2 linked regions of the Drosophila melanogaster genome follow. The protein of the gene in region 2 interacts with the protein of the main gene of each other region in a biochemical or structural test. Each region holds a gene or a part of one and is shown on either strand. Other genes may lie near its edges.

What was found.
Region 1: of the proteins of mbt (region 2) and DCTN2-p50, one has a biochemical effect on the other in vitro, tested with the Drosophila melanogaster proteins (one study listed by BioGRID).

The regions. Positions count from the first base shown.
Region 1 is NT_033778.4:8,890,222-8,894,103, forward strand, and holds DCTN2-p50 (dynactin 2, p50 subunit), read left to right. Parts: upstream 1-1,610; 5' UTR 1,611-1,732; coding exon 1,733-1,768; intron 1,769-1,852; coding exon 1,853-2,774; intron 2,775-2,840; coding exon 2,841-3,025; 3' UTR 3,026-3,118; downstream 3,119-3,882. Other genes in the region: CG8272 (uncharacterized protein), read right to left, coding at 1-897, 1,029-1,079; Sec31 (secretory 31), read left to right, coding at 3,724-3,882. UniProt on the Drosophila melanogaster protein: Modulates cytoplasmic dynein binding to an organelle, and plays a role in prometaphase chromosome alignment and spindle organization during mitosis. May play a role in synapse formation during brain development.
Region 2 is NC_004354.4:16,608,714-16,612,637, forward strand, and holds the start of mbt (mushroom bodies tiny), read left to right. Parts: upstream 1-1,971; 5' UTR 1,972-2,478; coding exon 2,479-3,649; intron 3,650-3,720; coding exon 3,721-3,924. Other genes in the region: Nup153 (nucleoporin 153kD), read left to right, coding at 292-385. UniProt on the Drosophila melanogaster protein: Involved in neurogenesis of the adult central nervous system, and together with Cdc42, regulates photoreceptor cell morphogenesis. Phosphorylates exogenous substrates when activated by Cdc42.

The sequences.
Region 1 (3,882 bases), on a different chromosome or scaffold from region 2:
TACCAAGGCGGCCAGATTTTCATCGTTAACACACATTGTGGCCGACAAATCGAGGGCACACAACTGGGGCTGTGTGGCTAGAAAGTTCAGGATTGTGGTGCAGTTAAGCTGTCTGCATCCGGCCAAATAGAGGCGCTGCAGTTGGAGATTGAGGTCGCAAAGGGCCAACAAAGCCTGGCCAATTAGGGTGTGGCTAAAGTTCAACACGCGCAACGTACGTCGCTGCAGGTTCAGAATGGTGAGGATGAACTTGAACGTGAGCACAGACTCGCTGGGCAAAACGTGATCCGAGGAGCTGGTGGCAGGGTAAAATCTGCGATGAATAGCATTGTGAAAGGCTATGTGACAGCCGGACATGTTAATCGCTTCCAGACTGGGCATGAACGATGTGAGACGCATAAGAATGGCATCCGTGAGGTATTGGTTCTCGCACAGCGTCAGCTCCTTGATGCCGGCCAGATTGCTTGCCAGGTCGTTTAGGTCAGGACAGGAGTTGTTGTAAGAGTCCAGGAAAGAGCCGGACATGAACAGCGGCAGACAGCGCTTCAGCGACAGCGAGTGGAGATGGGGCAGCACGCCCAGCATGCCGTAGAACTGTTTGTCATTCAAATCCACATTGTCCAGAGCCAGGGACTGAGCGGTCCTGCCCATGAAGCGCATCAATTCCTTTACTTGTCCCAGTGTCACGTCCTCGAACAGGAAGTGCTGGAAACGCCGCTCGCAGCGCATCAGATCCACTCCAGGACTCAATTGATCCGATAGCACCACCTTGGAGAAGCAGACTCGCGTGCGCTGGTTAAATTCCGCCTGATCCAGCGCCGCATGCCATCGCTGGCAGGTGGATCCTGCCGCTTGTAAGTCCGAGTAGCCGAGATAGCTGAAAATCTTCAAAACAATCTGGGGGCGGAACAGAAAAAAACAAAATCAGCTGACTGCCCTAACAGGTATATGAATATGCAGATATAGATACGCTCGAAATGATGGATTGGTCACGGGACCGCGGCAGTCCGTTCACATTATATGCTCACCTCCAGCGGCAGATCATCGTATCTATGCAACCCGTACTCTAAGCCAGACATTACTCTATTGTTTTCGGATGCAAAATATTAAGATTAGTACAACCAACTAGCAGCTCCCACCGCCCACTCGCTTCGCCCGCAAACTACACGAAAACTACAGTGTTGACTAACTTAGTACCTGTGCTAGGTACAGTAGGACCGTGCCTTTTTTCTATCCTCACTGGTCTATAAAATACCAGAAGAAAAGTGTACCTTCATTGATTTACCAATTGGAAGTCGATCATGGAATTATTTACCTATTGCTTATGAATGATTTTAAATGTATATCGTTTTTCCTAAAATCAAAATAGGTTTAAATTAGCACAAAAAGCTTTAATTTATTTTTATAAATGTTTGCATCTATGAATCCAGTTAACAAAGTACAATGTGCAAGTACAATTTATTTATATCGATGATATATTTTGCAATACTATTTACTCTTAGCTTATTAGCCGTTACAAGTAATAACTGTCTTTTTTAAATGACTTTTTAGATACCTCTGTTTATAAATACTCCAATGACAACTGCACTTTGGCATTTGTTTGGTAACCGCGCACGGTAACTTTTTTTATGACATCAGATCGAATTGATTGTTGTAAAAAAGGATTTTTGAAGGTTTATAATTATTTCGTTGCCAAAGGATTCCAAACACCGCCGTCGACGTGCCCACAATAATGGCCGATCCCAAGTTCCAGAACCTACCGGGAATAGTAAGTCGGAACTCCGCACCATGGCAGTGACGTTTAAGCTTTCGTTTTTGCCCATTTATACATATATGTACTTTATGTTTTTAGGCTTATGACCAGCCGGACGTGTACGAAACTCCAGATGACCCGGAGCTCGATACATCCGACTACTACGAAGAGGAGCCGGAGAACGAAGCCATCGAGCGACTGCACATCTCGCCGAGCGTCGCTCACAAGCGCTTCAGCGGAGCAACGGTCGAGGGGAGTGTGGACTTCACGGATCGCATTGGACGACGCATGTGCCGGGGTTACGATACGCGCGGCTCCAGCGACTACGAGCTGGTTGGCCAGGGCGAGAAGGAGACGCCGGTGCAGAAGTGCCAGCGCCTGCAGATCGAGATGAACGAGCTTCTGAACGAGGTGGCCGCCTTGCAGGTGGACCGCAAGGTAGCCGACGAGGAGAAGCAGTCGTACGATGCGGTGGCCACGGTTATCAGCACGGCCCGAAAGGTGCTGGAGTCGCTGAAGCTGGAGCAAGTGCTGGGCAAGGAGCAGACGCCTGGAAGTAAGCAGGTGAAAGCACTCATTAGCCAGGTGGAGGAGTTCAAGCAGTCCGGCGTTCTCACAGCCATACCCACGCCTGGCACCGATCTGGCGGCCACGGCCCGCGTAGCCAGTCTAGAGCAGCGAATCTCGCAGCTGGAGAAGGTGCTGGGCGCTCAGCCGGACAAGTTGAGCCGCCTTACCGCCGCCACCAACACCACCAATGTACTAGAGGCAGTGCGTCATCTAAGCACCAAGGCGGCCCTGATACAGCCTGATAAACTGGACACCATCGAGCAGCGCCTGACCTCGCTGGCCGGCAAGATGGATGCTATCGCCGAAAAGTCCAGCGGCAGTGCCCAGGACGCCAAACGAGATCAGAAGATTACGGAACTATACGACATCGCGAAGCGCACGGAGCCAGTGGTGGAAATACTGCCGCACGTCATCGAACGCATGCAAGCCCTCGAGGCCCTCCATAAATATGGTAAGCAATTCTATTTAGCATTTTAGCATTGTGCTTGTTTCTGTAACTAATCAACTTGCTCTGCAGCAAACAATTTCGCCAAGATCATCGCAGAGATTGAGCAGAAGCAGGGAACCATCACCACTAGCTTGGTGAACAACAAGGAGCTGCTGCATTCCGTACAGGAGACTTTCGCCCAGAATCTGGAGACTATCAACAGCAAGGTGGCCAAGGTGGAGCAGCGTGTGGCGGCCATATCGTCTGCCAAATGAGTGGATGCATACCATGCGTATTAAATAAACATAGCTTATATTTATGAAAGATACCTATAATAAAGAGATCTACATTCGAGTCCAGTTCCAGTCAAAAAATAAATGCAAAGTGATCTGGAATTTAAAATGAGTTCATAATAAATATTAATATTAAAAGTGCTGAAGCTAGTTTACGAATATAAAATGCGATGGAAAATAAATCTTTAAATAATTTCGACTATCATTTTTAATAATGTATACTGATAAAAACTATTTTTAAAATTGCACATTGAAACGGAATATTTAAATTGCATACCGTTAAACTCGCAGTATATTCTGGTCGCACGCATTTGGTATTTCAGTGCGTGCCCTGTGGTATATTACGTTGGCTCAGAGCACGGTCACACTGGCCGTTCCTACGGTTCTTAAAAATATTAACGATTCCAGTTAAATTCAAGATCAAAAAGTCTCGTTGCAGCGCAAGCGAGTACAAATTGCATTCACAATTGTGTGTAAGTTGCGCAATTAGCATAATTAAAGATACTTAAAGGCCGGCGGGCACTACTGGGCCACATCTGCAATGGGGAAGCCAATGGGAAAAGTGATGACGGGGCTTACTCCAATTGGACGTGACACAATTTCGTTCTGAACTTGTACCTCCCATAATATTTGTGTTTTTTCGCTTTATTTACACGAGCAGCACGAAGGGACATTGCAAGATGAAGATCAAGGAACTGCAAAAGACGGTGAACATCGCCTGGTCGCCGGCGCAGCAGCAGCAGATTCTCTTGGCCGCCGGCACCGCCGCCCAACAATTCGATTCCAATGCCAATTCCACTCTGGAGTTGTACTCACCGAACTTCAGCGATGCCACATAC
Region 2 (3,924 bases):
ACGCATCCATTTCCTCCACGGAATGGTTTATTTACCATTGTGTAAATAGGATATATGTAGCATTTTCTATATCCTGCGAATTTCATATTTTACTATAGTTTGTGTTTGTCTTATTTGTGTGTGCCATATTGTTTCGTTTTGTTCATAGCATTTCGTATCCATATATTATTTGTTCAATTAATGTTTTTTGTCCACATTACTCGCTGTAAGCAGCAGCAGCAACCGCCAGTGGGAGTCTCGAAATTGACCAACCAAATATGATAATGATACTAATCCATTGTTAATCCGCAGCTTCAATCCGCCAGCTGCGGGCAACTCGGCGCAGAGTTCCCAGACGGCTCGCCGCAAAATCCGCGCCCCCGTACGCCGTTTGCCGCCCCGGTAGAAATGGCATCGCAGTCGGCCATCACGATAGCAAATGAGGCCGCCGTCGGATTAGGATTAAGATATTGGCAGCCATTGCCGAGAGTAACAGAATCAGCAGTAGCAGCAAAAGCATCAAGGGCCGAAAAGGAAAAGCAAGACACAGAAGACGCCGGCAACAATAGTGGGCTCAAAGGTTCGGTCCAGAGCCAATATCACCAGGAGCCAGATATTCAAGGATCATCGAGGATAAACATGCAGTCACCAAAGTCGCCATGTGTGAACAAATACCGCTTCGTACGCCGCCACAGCCTGAACTCTGAAACCAGGAAACCCTTTAGCAGGAATATTTGGCAGAATACAACAGGAGAAGGCAATGAAACCAATGGCGACGATGTCCCTAAAACACCAACAACTGGCGACCAGGAGGACAACCAACAGGAGGAACGAGATTCAGCGGTATATACATCAACAGAACGAACTGTACTAGTAAGGACCCAATTCAAGATAGTGCGGCAAAGGAGCGTCATCTCGAAACCGAGACAGAAGCCTCCGACTTACTCTTAAAAAGCTAAGGAATAGGTTCGTTCCACATCCTTCTCTGCTCTCCGATGATTGGGAGATGACCACGCGAATGTCGCTCATACTACGCATATTGATGATTACAAATTATAAAAACACTTCGTTGGATTTACGCGAGAATTCATCGCACCAAAAAAAAAACGAAAATGAATATATTTTAACGTTATTTTTGTTGAATATATAATATACCTTAACGATAATTATGTAATAATTATTTTGCGAAATAGTAAAGAAACGTGTAATGCTGCAATCAAACAGAGATGCGAGGCCATGTAATAGCGCAAAAAATCAACTACTGTATAATGTAGTAATACGTATATTCGAGTTATTGGCCGATACGTCGAGCATATGATGATTGCAGTCAGATAAGAGCGATCGGCAAACGATTGCATTAAGTCTTTAGTTTTTGTTATTAATTTTAGCGTTTAGATTCACACACACACAATTCACACGAGGAAAATACCTGCAACGACGTTCTGTGCAGCAGCCAAGGTGGAAAGCCAACAAATTAAAGAAAAACAACTATCTAGCAACGTAAAGAAACCAACCAACCCTATAGCTAACAAGATAACAGATTAGATGAAAAGATTAGAGAGAATGGTGGCAAACTGGAAAACCGAAAGAGTTATAATTGTATGCATGTTTTTTATATACATAAATTCATAAAGAACATTTAATATTTTATTTTAAGTTTATATTGATCATTTTTAAGTCGAGAACAGAAATGGAAATCAGAAGTCTATGTTGAGAGAGAAACGGTATCATAATGTAAATAAGTAAATATATGCGGTATGATAATTTAAACATTGTGCTCTTTACTTGGGTTTTCAACTGGAATTGCAATGAAATTCTATAACGAATATTTGGTGTCTTAAAGTACATATCTTACTTTGAATGGTAATTGTTTTCAGCGCGAATACTTTACAAACATTTGAATTTCGAAAAGCCAGTTGACCACAGGCGAACTCACCATGCCACGGCAACGGTCACACTGCCGCCATTGCGATAGACATCGATAGCCGTTCCAGCACTAATACTCACGATAAACACCACCTCTATTTCTGGCATCGGCAATTATTTCCCTAGGTTTATTATTTTTTTGTTAAGCGAATTGCTTGTGCGCTCGTGCTGTCGCCATAATGTGTGCAATGTGTGCCAGCCAGAGGAGCAAGTGGTGAAGGTGTATCGCTTGTGCGCATCTCGATTTGTCCATCCATATCCAATTGAATCCCAGTTTCCCAGTCGCGTCCGCTGCTATGCGTGTGTGTGTGCGTGCGTGCCCGTGTCCCTGCATGTGTGTGTGTGAGTGAGATCGGGAAGAAGTTGTGTGCTGTTGTTGTTGTTGTTTCTGTCGGATTTGCCGTTGCCATCGTTTGTTGTTTGTGCATTTTCCATTGTCGGGCGACGCAACAAAAAGAAAAAAATTACACATTAAAAATAGAGAGCAAGAGCGAGAGGGAAGGAGTGGTGTGGAGTGGAAAAGGGCGGTAAAAGGGCAGAAATTTGGAGCACGGGAAATCCGAGTCGCTGAAGATGTTCTCGAAGAAGAAAAAGAAACCGCTGATCTCGATGCCCAGCAATTTTGAGCATCGTGTGCACACGGGCTTCGACAAGCGGGAGAACAAATATGTTGGCCTGCCCCTCCAATGGGCGTCCATTGTGGGCAACAATCAGATACTCAAGTCCTCCAACCGCCCGCTGCCACTGGTCGATCCCTCGGAGATTACGCCCACCGAGATTCTCGATCTGAAGACTATTGTGCGTCCGCATCACAACAACAACAAGGCGGACACCACCTCGCTCAACAGCAGCAGCACAATGATGATGGGCTCAATGGCGCCGATGAATCCCATGGCACCTGGCGCACACCCAATGATGAGCCATGGCCCCGGAATGATGATGCCACCCGAGACGGGCGGCATAGTCCTGCCGAAGACCTCTCACGTGGCCAGATCCAATTCGCTGCGGAGTTCCAGTCCGCCGCGAGTGCGACGGGTAGCCAATGTGCCGCCATCGGTGCCGGAGGAGGAGGGACCACCGGCAGCTGGAACACCGGGAGTAGGTGGAGCTAGTAGCGGTGGCTTTAAGCCACCCGGTGCCCATCCCTCCCTGCTCTATAACAGTCAGCATGCGCACGCGAATGGAGCAACAGGACCACTGGCCGTGCGCACGGATCAAACCAACCTGCAGCAGTATCGCAGCAATCTGGCCCCGCCATCCGGCGGCTCCATGCCCCAGCAACAGCAGACTTCGCCCGTGGGTTCGGTGGCCAGTGGCACGCGATCCAATCACTCGCACACGAACAATGGCAACAGCGGCGGCAGCTATCCTCCCATGTATCCCACAAGCCATCAGCAGCAGCAGCAGCAGCAACAGCAGGCCAAACAGGGTGGCGATCAGAACCAAAATCCTCTGCATCCGCATGCTCATCCGCATCCGCACCATCACCAACATTTGGCCAAGTCGGCGTCCAGGGCATCCAGTTCCAGCGGGGGAGCGAGCAGTGCTGCCCAGCAGGCGAGCGGCGCCAGTGGAGGAGCGGCGGGTCAGCCAAAGCAGGACCAACGACTCACCCACGAACAGTTCCGTGCCGCCCTTCAGATGGTGGTCTCCGCCGGTGATCCACGCGAGAACCTCGACCACTTTAACAAAATAGGCGAGGGCTCCACGGGCACCGTATGCATTGCCACGGACAAATCCACAGGCAAGAACATCCGCTTTAACTATTGTCAAAACCATTGAATTAATGGCATTTGGTTTTCTCATTACGTACAGGTCGCCAGGTGGCCGTGAAGAAGATGGATCTGCGCAAACAGCAGCGACGGGAGCTGCTATTCAACGAGGTCGTCATCATGCGGGACTACCATCATCCCAATATCGTGGAGACATACTCCAGCTTTCTGGTCAACGATGAGCTTTGGGTGGTGATGGAGTACCTCGAGGGCGGCGCCCTCACCGATATTGTCACCCATTCGCGCA